Linked DNA regions of Macaca mulatta. The protein of the gene in region 2 binds, or shares a complex with, the protein of the main gene of each other region. Links are inferred from orthologs where the notes say so. Each region holds a gene or a part of one and is shown on either strand. Other genes may lie near its edges. The genes, in order: LDLRAP1 and AP2B1.

The links.
Region 1: the proteins of AP2B1 (region 2) and LDLRAP1 are in contact, whole or in part, in a crystal structure (PDB 2G30), measured with the Homo sapiens proteins. The link is inferred for Macaca mulatta from reciprocal best matches to the Homo sapiens genes AP2B1 and LDLRAP1. Residues at the interface, in NP_001273.1 of Homo sapiens: Arg834, Gln835, Phe837, Leu838, Trp841, Glu849, Gln851, Ile876, Ala877, Arg879, Val881, Glu882, Gln884, Met886, Tyr888, Glu902, Arg904, Ser915; in NP_056442.2 of Homo sapiens: Asp253, Leu255, Asp256, Ala258, Phe259, Ser260, Leu262, Ala263, Gln264, Arg266, Thr267.

The regions. Positions count from the first base shown.
Region 1 is NC_133406.1:215,486,152-215,493,100, forward strand, and holds the start of LDLRAP1 (low density lipoprotein receptor adapter protein 1), read right to left. Parts: upstream 3,934-6,949; 5' UTR 3,843-3,933; coding exon 3,755-3,842; exon of another isoform or gene 3,207-3,754; intron 1,316-3,206; exon of another isoform or gene 1,114-1,315; intron 1-1,113. UniProt on the Homo sapiens protein: Adapter protein (clathrin-associated sorting protein (CLASP)) required for efficient endocytosis of the LDL receptor (LDLR) in polarized cells such as hepatocytes and lymphocytes, but not in non-polarized cells (fibroblasts).
Region 2 is NC_133421.1:45,056,650-45,063,407, forward strand, and holds the start of AP2B1 (AP-2 complex subunit beta), read left to right. Parts: upstream 1-2,743; 5' UTR 2,744-3,103; intron 3,104-6,758. UniProt on the Homo sapiens protein: Component of the adaptor protein complex 2 (AP-2). Adaptor protein complexes function in protein transport via transport vesicles in different membrane traffic pathways.

The DNA.
Region 1 (6,949 bases), on a different chromosome or scaffold from region 2:
GCGCATGGTGGCGGGCACCTATAATCCCAGCTCCTTGGGAGGCTGAGGCAGGAGAATCACTTGAACCAAGGAGGTGGAGGTTGCACTAAGCCAAGATCCCAAGGCTGCACTCCAGCCTGGGCAACAGAGGGAGACTCCCTCTTAAAAGAAAAAAAAAAAAAAGAGTATCCATCCATGGGATTGTTTTGAGGATGAATTGAGTTCACACCTGAGGTGAGCTTAGAACCCTGTCTGGTACATACCAAGTATCACAAGTGTGAACTACTGTCATTACCAATGGTCAAATGCAAAGAGCTTTAACATGTCCATGGCCATTCTCATACTGAAAGAAGAGTCCAGGATAGATCAGTGTTCCCATTTCACAGATAGAGAAGCCCAGAGGAGTCTGACCATGGCTCACTATCGACAGCACTGGGACTCCAGTCCACACCTGCCTCCTGCAGCCCAAGCCCCTTGGTGGGATCAGGCAGAGCTCTGTAGGGCTGCTCAAAAAGAGTATCTGACCCTCAGTGGGCAGTGGGTGACCTCTGACTCCTTCAAGCCACATGCCCCTCACACAGCCCCCAGGCCCGTGAGAAGCAGAGTCTTAGGCTCCAGTTCACCATTCCCTGCACTTGCTGTTCCCTCTGGCTGGAACGCTCTTCCCAGACTCCTCCCTCCTGGGATTCACCGGTGTGTACTGAGTCACCTTCTCACAGGGACCTTCCCTGGTGCTGTCAATGGCCGCCCTTATCCCCTCTGCATACCACTTCCATGTTGTGCTGACTGCCAGCACCTGCCGCTCTACCTGCTGGAGATGCTGAGGCCGGTGCAGACTGGGGAATGAAGATGTCCCATCCCCAGGAGTCCTCCCCTCCGGCAAGGTGCTGCCCTTCTCTGGGCTTGTTTCTCCACAAATAAGCAATGCTCATGCTAATCCTAGTGGGGACCTTGACGGGGAGGAACAGGTCACAACTGAGAGCAGCGTTCGAGTCTAACTTTAACTCCACTGGCTTCAGTTTGGCCTCAAAACTCAACCACAGGGACCAGGTCCAAGGCCCGGATGGGTCACAACCCTGAGCAAGGTGACCCTAGCACCCCCACCCCCACATACCCCATGGCCCCTGCTCTAACCTGTGGCCACTGCTGTCAGAGGCTGCCAGCCCAACCTGGGGTGGGTGAGGACTGCTCCCAGCTCCTCCCATGGCAGAATCCACCAAGACCTCTGCGCTAGGAATGTGGAGCTCTGCCTCTTAGACGTTCTGTGTCTGGGGCCAATGACTCCAATGCTCAGAATCTCAGTTCCTTTGTCTCTAAAATGGGCCTGCTCTGTCACCTCACAGGAGTCAATGAGAGAATGGAAGCAAAAACACGTTGTAAAACAGTTACAAAAAAAGTAGTTACCATTTACCAAAGTCTTCCTCTATGCCAGGCAAACGCAATTTCATTTGATCCCCACAAACAGTTGGAGGCAGGTACTACTGTTATTTGCAATTTACAGGTGAGGAAATTGAGACCTCATCACGAGGGACAGGTGGGGCTCGGCCCGCCCTCCTTCAGGTCCAGAGGCTCCAGGACAGCACTCTGGGCTTACTGGGGCCTGGAGGAGGGAGAGAGGTGCTCCTCTCCTTTCCTCCAAAGGTGCAGACGAGCTCTGGGCCCCCAAAACCCATCTCACCCCAGTACTAATCATGCTGGCGGCGTCCCAAGGATAGGCAGGGGGAAGAGGAGCAGGGCAGAAGAAAGCCACCAGTTAGGAGGGAGCATTATTACCAATAATCTCCTTGATACTCCTGCCAGGTAAGAGTTTTTATCCCCATGTTGCAGATGAGGAAACCAAGCATCAGAAAGGACAAGTGACTTGCCCAAGATTGAAGATGGCAAGAGAAATTCTCGGCCGGGCGCGGTGGCTCAAGCCTGTAATCCCAGCACTTCGGGAGGCCCAGGCGGGCGGATCACAAGGTCAGGAGATCGAGACCACAGTGAAACCCCGTCTCTACTAATAATACAAAAAATTAGCCGGACGCGGTGGCGGGCGCCTGTAGTCCTACTCAGGAGGCTGAGGCAGGAGAATGGCGTGAACCCAGGAGGCGGAGCTTGCAGTGAGCCGAGATCGCGCCACTGCACTCCAGCCTGGGCAACAGCGTGAGACTCCGTCTCAAAAAAAAAAAAAAAAAAAAAAAAAAAAAAAAAAGAGAAATTCTCTTCCACCATCCAAAGTGGCTACCTCTTCTGCGTCCCCAGATTCAGAGATGTTTCTTTCTAGCCTCCCTTCTCTTGCCAGCCCCCCTTCCTTCAAAACCACTTCCCCGGGGGCTGCCCTGCCACACTCCCGCCCTCATTCCTGGAGAAAACCGCAGGATTCTCCCGCTGGAACAGATGGCCATTCTCAGAAGTTCTGGTCAAATCTTGCCAGTTTTTAAAGGGTCTATTTTGGGAGGCAATCAGTGTGATAAACGGTGCATCCCCTGGCCCACTGGCCCAGCCCTAATGGGTCTCTGACACCACCCCCCACCAGCAGGCACCACCCCACATTCCCAATGCCAATGCCAGTCTCAGTTGGGAGGCGGCCACAGCTGAACAACAGAGTGGGGCCAGAGGAGGAGCAAGGCGGGCCCTCTAGGCCCAGACACGCTGGCATTCCTGGGACCAGGGAGCTCGGGCTCCCCTGGTGGAGCCCTGTAAGGCCAAGAGGGAATGGGGTGAGGGGGTGCTGTACTGTCAGTTGTTTCCTGATGAGGGGAGAGGCTGTGGCCCGAAGTGGCTGGCAGGGAGGTGGGAGTGTGCAGCAGTCCTGGGTTCTGGCTCCAAAACCGGCAGGAAGGTCTGTGTGACCCCAGGCAAGCCACTCTCTTCTCCCTCCCAAACAACGAGACCTGCGACCTGCGCTGGGCTGGTCTTCTGGCTTCAGGGGAAGGTGCCAGGTGACAAGTTCCTTGAGCGTAACCAGAGACAGGGAGAGAAAGAAGCCACGGGGAGGCCCCTCCCAGCCTCCCAGACGCTCCAGGGAGAGGTGACAGCGAGTCTGCCGTTGGCCTGGGCGCCCAAGGGACTTTAGAAGCCCGAAGGGAAAGGTGCGAGAGAAAACAGGTTTCAAAAATAGTTGGGACGCCAGGCTCGTCACCTGGACCCGACTAGAGGAAGGGACGCAGGGGTCTAGACCGCCTCATGTAGGGCTCTCCCGAGGCACCCCAGGCGGGGCCTCTCTCCCAATTTCAAGTACGTACCTGCGACCCCGGGCTCACACCTGGGTGGGTGTCTGGACACCCGGAGTCAAAAGTTGGCCCGGTGGGTCGGACAGGGGGCGGGAGAACGGGCCAGTGGGCTCCCGCCCGCCGCAGCCGCTGGCTGGGGCGCAGGGGTGCGGGACGGGGGCGTCTTTCCAAGCTCCTGCGCCCTTTCCTCCTCCCTCAGGCACCGACGACCAGGGCCTGCCTCCCCCTAGCTGGCCAGGACAGCAGGGCGGGAGGTGCCGCGGGTGGCGGGGACCTCTTCTCCCAACCTGCACCCCACCCCATGCCGGCTGCACCTGGGGACCTCGAGCTCGGGCTCCTTCCTCAGCGCTGCCCCTCCTCGCAGCGGCACCGAGCGGCCGGGGAGTAGGTGCGCAACTTGACCCCGGCCGACCCCCTGCCCCGCAGGGCCGGGAAAGGGCCACGCCGGGACCTGAGCGCCGGTCAGGCCCCGCCTCTGCCCAACTTGGCCGCACTCCGGGCGCCGGCGGAGGCCCCGCGCGCCGACCCCGGCCCGGCCCGGCCGACGCGCGCACACTCACTGCGGTGCCGGCCGCCGCCCCCCCAGCTCTGCTTGGCCAGGCTGGGGCTCCGGATCAGCGCCCGCCCCGCGGACTTGAGCGCGTCCATGGCCCGCTCCGGCGCCGCCACCGCTGCCGCCACCAAAACTCCGTCAGGAAAAACTTTCCGCCCGGCCCTGCAGCGCGCGGGCTGCGCGCTCCTCCCCTCCCGGCGCGAGCTCCGCCGCGGCGTCCGACGGGGCGGGGCAAGGAAGGACAGGCCACGCCCCCAGGCGGGCCCCGCCCCCGACCGCCGATCTCGCCCCGCCTGGTCCCTGTCCAGGCCCAGGGTCCAGGCCCCAAGAGCTTCTGAGGCCGCCCGAAGGCGCCAGAAGATAGCGAATCGCAAGCCCCAGACGCCCCCGCTTTCCTCCTTCTCCCCAATCCCCACCCCGTAGGAGCCTGCGGGTCTGAGAGCAGCGGCCTAGATTTCCAGTGACCATTTTACAGATGGGGAGACTGAGGGCTCCTCCAATGGTGAAAGGTCTTGTTCAGGGACAAGAACAATGCGATGTCCAGGGCAGTGGGAGACTTAGGAAAGAGTGGAGGCTGTAAATCAGGGATATCCAGACTTTTGGCTTCCTTAGGCCACATTGGAAGAAGTGTCTTGGGCCACACATAAAATACACTAACAACAGCCCATGAGCTAAAAAAAAAAATATATATATATATATATATATACACACATATATCTCTCAAAAGAAAAAAAAAACTCATGAGTTTTTTTTGTTTTTTTGGTTTTTTTTCCTGAGACACAGTTTTACTCTGTCGCCCAGGCTGGAGTGCAGTGGTGCGATCTCGGGTCACTGCAACCTCTACCTTCCGGGTTCAAGCTGTTCTCGTGCCTCAGCCTCCCGAGTAGCTGGGATTACAGGCATGCACCACCATGCCCGGCTAATTTTTGTATTATTAATAGAGATGGAGTTTTATCATGTTGGCCAGGCTGATCTCGAACTCCTGACCTCAAGTGATCTGCCTGCCTCAGCCTCCCAAAGTGCTGGATGGCTGTAAGCCACCGCACCCGGCCCAAAAAGTCTCATAATGTTTTAAGAACCTTTACGAATTTGTGTGGGGCCCCATTCGAAGCCGTCCTGGACCTCACATGGCCAGTGGGCCACAGGTTGGACAAGCTTGCAGTATAGACCCTTGTTAGGCGCAGGGTCGGTATATAAAAGTTTGCCCTTACTTTACTCATCCACGTAGCTCCCTGGCTGCTCCCTGGCACCACCTGAGCATGCTGGGCCACCCCATGCCCCTGCAACTTCCCAGGTAGCCTCAGAAATGGTATGATCTGGAATGTGCCCCTGACACTGACTTGCTGTGTGACCTCAGGCAAGTCCTTCCCCTCTCTGAGTCTTGTTTTTCTGTGAATGAGAGTCAATGCTATCTCTAGTGATCCTTCCAACCTGCCAGGGTCAAGAATCTGCATGACCTTGACCCTGACCCCATGCTGCTTCCTAGGAGCATTCGGAGGGCAGTCTGAACCCCAGAACTGCTCAGGCACAGATGTTCTAACTCCAGGATTGGAAGGATTTATTCTAACTCTCTAGGATGCCGTGCCTTCCTTTCAAACTGTGCCAAAAGTAGCCAGAGGGAGGACACACACATCCAAGCCACAGCCTGGCTTCTTTTAGAAGAGGGTGCCGCAGGCAAGGCCAACTTCAGCCTCTGTAATTACTCCCAGCTCAGAAGCCAGCAGTCTTCTCTGTGTCGGGAGAAACATAGCACTGTGCTGTCCCCAGCTGGATAGGGTGGCCTCACTGACATTCCCCTGTTTATAAACCAAGTGCTTTGTTAGCCAGTCTGTCCTTGGCTTCCCCAGCAACACTGCTTAGGTGGACCCACTTAACAGATGAGAGCCCTAGGTCAGGGAGGGAAGCATTCACTGATAGTCTCCGAGAGTCAGAGATTGGGATCAGACTCAGGCCCATAGGCGATGGGGTAGAGTATAATGCCAGGGGTTAGAACTCAGCTGTCCTTTTGGTGGTTGTGAACTCACCCTTCTGAGCCTCATCTGTAAAAGGGGCAACTGTACCTATTTCACGGGGCTATCCGTAAGGACTAAATAACAGGAGTTGGAATGGCTGAATCCTGTTCTTGAGAACCTACCTTTAAAGTTGCCTCCTCCAGGAAGCCTTCCCTGACTACCACCCATGGATTAAGTTTCTCTTTGTGGGCGCCCACAATCCTGAACTTTCAGCACTGCAAGCACTGCTGCTGCCTGTTTATACTCTTCTCATCTCCATTAGACTTTGTACCCTCCAAAAGCAGGAAGTTTTTCTGATTCATTTCTGAATCCCAAATGCCTAGTAAGGGGTCCAAATGGAGTTGGAACACAGTCAGTGTTCCTATCCTTCCTCCCTCCTTTCCTCCCCTTCTCCCTTTCTCCAACTTTTCACCAAACCAGGCTGCCTTCTGCAAAAGGGCTGTGGCAATAGGTAGGTGGGTCCGCAGGGCTGAGCCCCCCGGCTCACTTATCCCGAGCCAGCTAGATTCTGGAATAGTAGAGAGAGCATTCTGGAGCAGGGAGGAAAAGTGATCCCCCAGGGCAGACTGGCCAAGGGCAGCTGGTGGTGTCCGGCTGGCAGGGGGCACCATATGGGCCTGATAAGCAGGAAGGCCTGGGAACTCTGCGTGTGCAACGAAAGCTGTTTACCGGCCTTTGCAGTTTCCCGGAGATGGCTTGCTGGGAGCTGTCAGCCATGTGTCCCCTGCAGAGGGGCAGCCTGCTAGTGCCCCTTCTGCCAGTCGCAGAAACAGAAGCAGAAACAGAATGTCAGAGCTGTGAGTGGCCTCCTCTGAGGTCACTGTGGCCGAACCCTCATTTCACAGATGAGGAGGCTAAGACCCAGAAAGGGATAGGGACTTGTGCAAGGTTACACAGCAAGCCAGGAACAAATGCCAGGTCTCCTGCCTCCCACCTTGGATGCTTATAACAAGGAGGAGGCAAAGAAGTAGGGCCAGGCGCAGTAGCTCACGCCTGTAATCCCAGCACTTTGGGAGACCAAGGCAGGCAGATCATCTGAGGTTGGGGGTTTGAGACCAGCCTGACCAACATGAGAAACCCCATCTCTACTAAAAATACAAAATTAGCTGGGCATGGTGGCACATGCCTGTAATCCCAGCTACTCGGGAGGCTGAGACGGGAGAATTGCTTCAACCCAGGAGGTGGAGGTT
Region 2 (6,758 bases):
TGACTGCTCCTTCTCAGTTCTCTTTGCATTTTTGGGTTTATCTGTTTCTTCCCCAAGCTCTCCACATTCTTCATGAATAATGTTCATGCCTACAGATTGAATTATCATCTGTATGCTCACAGTTCACAAATTTAACTCCAGATCATTCCTTATCTTCAGACACATATAATTAAGTACCTCTTGGATAGAGATCTTCACTCTAACCTAACATATAAAATGAACTCATCACCTCCCTCTCATTCCCCAAACTTCTGCCATCTCTTATATTTTCCTATTTTCAGTGACGAGTACCACCATTCATCCCTTGCCCAAACCTAAAACATAAGCCTTATCAGTACTAGTGTCAGACTTCCTGGGTTCAAATCTTAATTCTACCTTGTGTGTGTGTGTGTGTGACAGGGTCTTGCTCTGTCATCCAGGCTGGAGTGCAGTGGTACGATCTCAGCTCACTGCAAGCTTCGTCTGGCAGGTTCACGCCATTCTCCTGCCTCAGCCTCCCCAGTAGCTGGGACTACAGTTGCCTGCCACCACACCTGGCTAACTTTTTTGTATTTTTAGTAGAGACGGGGTTTCACCGTGTTAGCCAGCATGGTCTCGATTTCCTGACCTCGTGATCCGCCCGCCTTGGCCTCCCAAAGTGTTGGAATTACAGGCGTGAGCCACCATGCCCGGCCATCTTAATTCTACCTTTTAACTTCTCTGTATCTCTTAAAATAGAGGAAGTAATGGTACCTGCCTGGTTATCAGGTAGGTAGTGAGGATGTAAAAATGTACTTAGCAGAGTAACTGACATAAAATCATACTCAATAAATATCAACAGTTACTTGTTTAAACCACCATCATCATGTGGCTGGATCATTTCAACAGTTTCTTGAGTGATCTCCCATTAGATTATGAGCCCGTGATGGTCCCAAAAGGTGAAAAGAAGGGAGATTGGTCAATACTTTCACCTAAAAGTGGAAGAGAATGAGGTTGGAAAAGCTTTTCGATTGATGCTGTATTTTGAAAATAGCATTGGTTCATTTTTCCTTAAAATATATGCATTTTTCAGAGAAAGGATTGGAAAATAAAACAAATATAAAGAAGATAACATTTGTAATCAGCACCCAGAGAGAACCACTAATAGGTATATATACGCCTCTGGATTTAGAGTTTTGTATCTTTCTTTTATTCTTATCATTTCAAAGCATTTTTCTGTATCATATTTTTCAACAATATGATTTAAAAGGCACATCCCAATCATATAAATAAATACATGTTCATTGTATTTGAAAAGTACAGAAAAATATTAGGAAGAAAAGTAAAACTCTCACTATTCCGCAATAACCACTTTTAACATTGTGCTGAATATCCAAGCTTTTTTTTTTTTTTTTTTTTTTTTTTTGAGACGAGTCTGGTTTTGTTACCCAGGCTGGAGTGCAGTGGCGAGATCTTGGCTCACTGCAACCTCCACCTCCTGGGATCACGTCATTCTCCTGCTTCAGCCTCCTGAGTAGCCGGGATTATAGGCATGTGCCACCACACCAGCTAATTTTTGTTTTTTCAGTAGAGACGGGGTTTCACCACATTGGCCAGGCTGGTCTCAAACTCTTGACCTCAGGTGATCTGCCCACCTCAGTCTCCTAAAGGGCTGGGATTACAGGTGTGAGCCACCATGACTGGCCTATCCTAGCCTTTTTTTTCTATACATATATAGTCATACCATATACTATATTGTTTTGTATCCTATTTTTACTTAACACTTTATGAATTTTCTGTCATAAAATATTCTATAACATTATGCAGCTATCTGATTTACCATAAGTGTTTACATTATCTCTCTTTATACCTGGCTTTCCAATTTCCCCTATTCCTCTATTTTAATAACAGGAAATAATAATACATGAGTATGTTATACAAAATTTTAATGTACTTCTGATCACTTTTTTAAGAATGAAGTTTTAAAATACTTAAACACTTTCTGACTCACAGAGTTCATGGGCAAAATGTGAGAAAAATAAATAATCACTTTGCTCTCCATCCTTCCTTACACCCTGAAATTAACCTTAGGGACAGCTAGTTCATTTAACCTCATCAATCTTGTTCTCCAGTTCCAGGTCCTGGAATCTAGGTCTTAGTTTCCGAAAGAAACTTACTTTTGTGTAAGCACACCTATTATATACTAGGCACTTGACCTAATTTATCTGGTTTACGCTTCACATGCCCGAGAGAGATACTATCATTGTCTTCATTTCACAGATAAGAAGATTGAGGAGACATTAACTTTCCCAGTCACATTCAGGGTAGGGATTCAAACTCACATCCAATGCCTCCTCAACCTCTTTTACCTGCACCACTATCCTCTAGCCCCACTGCCCGTATATAGCCCTGGGTTATATCACCATTGTCCGCTCTTGAGCCTGGAAGGAAAATGAGCTGAGGGGTTTTGTTTTTTCACAAAGGAACAGGATATTTCATCATCTCTGTGTTTACGTTTTTCAGAGAATTTCTGTGCGAGGTAACAAATCCATTGTCAGCGTTTTAAATATATTCCTTTGGAGTAGCCACTTAACATCCTCTGAGGCCCAGATGGGCCAGCTTTGCTGGGACCATGGGAAATGTTTGGGGCTGGAAGGCGACAGAGATTACCGCCTTGCTAGGTCTCCCGCGCACCCCGATGACGTCACGCGGCGAGGTTCTCTGACGTCAGAGTTTCCTGCCCACCATCTTTGTCCCTGGCAAAGTGGGTTTTGCGCAGTGGCTTAGACCTAGAAAAGAATCGTGACGGGCAGGAAACCATTACACCACCACCCGGGCTGTGCTCTCCGGCTCCCGCCGCCACCCCCGCCCTCGACTTCGCCTCCGCCTCCGGTGAGTTCAGGGAGGCTGCCTTTGGGGTGTGTCCCTAATTGACGGGGTGGGGGACGAAAAGAAGGGGAACCCCAGGCTGGGTCGAGGACCGGCGGAAGCGAGGATATCCTAAGAGCGTGACCGTTGAGGATACAGGGAACCGTCGGGTGTGACCAGTGAGAGGAAAAAGGTTGGAGAAAGGGTCTCCACCATGATGACTGTGGTGCGGTGAGGGAATCCTCGGGTGTGGCAGCAAGTAGTTGGGGGCATGAGGGTAAGATGTACTTCGGAATTGGGGGTTTAGGAGGACCAGAGGCCAGGGGTGTGGCTGATAGAGCCTGGAGGCCGTGGGGGGAACCGTCTTTCTTCCCCGCTCGGCGTCGTTCACTAAGAGTCACTAAGAGTCTGAGACGTGTCCAGCAAAAGCGAAAGGGAAAAACCCGTTTGCTCATTGATGGGCGAACGTCGTCTGTCCAGTAACTTGAGGGTAAGAGACAACCTCTTCCCTGCTCCGTAATGGAGGAGCATATCGCTAGAATCTTGACCACTTGGGGAAAGAAGAGGCATTCCTGACTCTTGGAGGAAGAGTAACCTCCAGAATTGACCCGATGTAAGAGAGGGGGAAGCAAATGGGGGTAAATCTTAACCCACCTTTTTTTTTTTTTTTTCTTCTTTTTCTGGGCTCTGCGGGAATGGTCTGGCTTGGGAAAGGCTGTAGATTAAGCTGAAAGTAAAGAAACTGGAACTTACTGTTATTTCCTTATCATTTGAATCCAAATAATTTGTTCATGCTGCTTATTTTCAAGAGCAGTCTTCTGTTGGAGGGGTGGGGTGGGGGGACAGGCTTTCATTGAACTCACGCGGATGCTTCATTAAACGTTTGACTTTTATTTTATTTTATTTTTATATTTTCAGTGACAGGGTCTTACTGTGTTGCCCAGTCTAGTCTAGAACCCCTGGGCTCAAGCGATCCTCCCTATTCGGCCTCCCACAGTGCTGTGATTACAGGCGTGAGCCAGAGCGCCCAGCCAAACTTGACTTTTGAAAAGAAAAAATGTTTTGAAAACCGCCAAAGACTTATCGTAACCATTGTGGTTTAAAAGAAAATGCATTAAACTTACAAAGGCAGAATGACTAAGAAAGAAGGTGGTCTCAATGAGAATCAATTTAAATTATTAATTACCTTCCTTGTATACTTGAATTGCTTAGCCTCAGGGTACACTTACAAAGTAATAATAGAAAGTAGCAGATGAAGGAGGTGCAGCTCTATAAGAAAACGTGTAACACATTCCAGTGATGACTAAGCGTGCTGGTAAGGTGAGAACTGTTTGCAGGTATCTTAACCGTTGAAACTTTCAAGGAAGCAGAAAGGGTGATGTATAATGCAAGCATCCTCACTAAAAGCTGGGTGGTAAAATCAATATAAATCTAATATTCTGACTGTATATGAAGAAACTCAAGTCCAGTTCTTTCATTCTTTCCGTCCTTAAAAGATCCATATTTTGAAGTACTAACTTTTTAGGCACAGGTTTGAACCAAGCTGAGCAAGGAATATATTAAATAGGGCACCTTCTCCTTTCTCTTGTCCTTTCTTTCCTTCCAGGCTTAAGTTTTCCAGAGTTTAATGTTATTTTGGTTAAGAATTAGATGTAAAACTTTTGAACTCCTTTGCTTCTATATAATATTAAGAAGCTACTTTGTAGTCTAAGTAGAAATCACAGGTGATTTTAGCTTTTGTGTCGTAATTTCTTATGAGAAAAATAATACCTGATGATGCTATTGTCTTTGCATTATTACTGAATATTTGATTAGAAATGAATTTGGCACCTCTCACCCTTACAATAAAAGATTACTGGAATGACATTTCTGCTTTATAATTTGGTTAACTTTGTTCTGTTTTTTACTGTGAGCACTGAGCTTTGTAAAATCCAACTTTGTGAAAAGAAGGGTTTAGGGACTTTACGAACTAATTTGGCTTCCCAGAGAGCCATTTGAATTAAGATCCTATTAATTTTTTTTGACCTTATTCTACCCAAGGTATTAATCTTATTTTGCTGCTCAATTTCTCTTTTAGGGAACTGGAGGGAGGTATAGGAGAGGAGGGACTTTGACAACCTATATTTCATAGAAACTAGGTTATGTTAAATCTGGATATGTAATCCTGTGCAGGGAGGCCTACTCCGAAATGCAGTGACATCACACTCTGGTCAGGGCAAGTAAGAGTGATTATGTGCTTTGACTCTGGCAGCTTTGTTGTTTAACAATGGCCTTAGGCCATATCATAAATCCTCAGAACAGCCGTGACTTGTCTGGTTTGATCTGGTAGAAAGGTAGTGTTAGTTCAAATTCCGTCATGGCTTTGCTTATTTCTCTGGCTCTTCTGAAGGAACATTTTCTCCCCCAAAGGAGCAGCTTGATTTTTGAGGCACTTCAGCAAATATTTGAGTTTTTTTGTTTTTTTTTTTCTTGAGCTCTATTTTGTTTACTTTTTCTGTTACTTCTAATGAAGATGTCAGTTTTTGCCATCCTGTATTTTGGAGACTCTGGCTATGTCCATATCTAGCATGTGATTAAATGTGTCTCTCATTATATGAGGTAAGAACTCACTATATGAGAGATACACTTAATCATATATATGTGATTATTTTTTTGAGGTGAAATTCACGTACCATAAAATGAACCAGCTTAAGGCATACAGTTCAGTGGAATTTAGTACACTGACAGTGTTGTGCAACAATCACGTCTTCTATTTGTTTTTATTTAGACGATTTTCATTTTTCTTGGAGTTTCTTTTGGCTTAAGGCAACAACCAGCTTGGCACCATGTTTCTCTGCCAATATGGATAGGGAATATTGTTTACAATAGTGTTGCTTACTACAGTGATATCCCTTCTCTTTAGAGCAGCAGGGACTCTTAATTTAGAATCTATGTTATGGGCTTCTAAAGATACTTGACCCTCCTCTCTTCCCTGAAATTTTGTGGGTGGGTGCATTATTTTCTAGTTAAGATGAAAACACTTAATGCTCACAGTGAACAGGACAGTAATATATTCCTTGACATTGAAATTGTTACAGATAATGAAATATGTGAGCTGTTAAAGGCATGACTTAAGACTTAGGTTAATTTATTGTTTAATAGAATGTAGTGAAAATTCCTGTAAAGAATTTACTCATGCCTGTAATCCGAGCACTTTGGGAGGCCGAGGTTGATGGATCACTTGATGTCAGGAGTTCCAGACGAGCCTGGCTAACAAGGAAAACCCCCTCTCTACTAAAATACAAAAATTAGCCGGGCATGGTAGTGGGTGCCTGTAGTCCCCGCTACTCTGAAGGCTGAGGCAGAAGAAATCGCTTGAACCTGGGAGGCAGAGGTTGCAGTGAGCCCAGATCGAACCACTTCACTGGAGGCTGAGATCGAACCACTGCACTGGAGCCTGGGCCACAGTGAGACTTTGTCTCACAAAAAAAAAAAAAAAAAGATTTTAATGGGTTGGGCACGGTGATCCCAACATATAGTCTCAGCTACTCGGGAGGCTGAGGTGGGAGGATCACTTGAGCCCAGAAGGCGGATGTTGCAGTGAGTCCCAGCTGGGACTACAGGCATGTGCCACCATGCCCGGCTAATTTTTGTATTTTTATTAGAGATGGGGTTTCGCCATGTTCCCCGGGCTGGTCTCGAACTCCTGAGCTCAAACTATCTGCACACCTCGTCCTCCCAAAGTTTTGGGATTACAGGCATGAGCCATCGCGCCTGGCCAAAAAAAATTTAATGCGTGTGTGTATAAGACCCTTTTCAAAGAAATTGGGTGACGAATTCTAAGGAGGTTTTGTTTTAAAATCTTAAACAAGTTTTAAAGGACATAGCATAGCATAGTAAACATCCTAGAAAGATTGTAATGGATTTGAGCTATAGTCCTTCTTTGAGGCTCA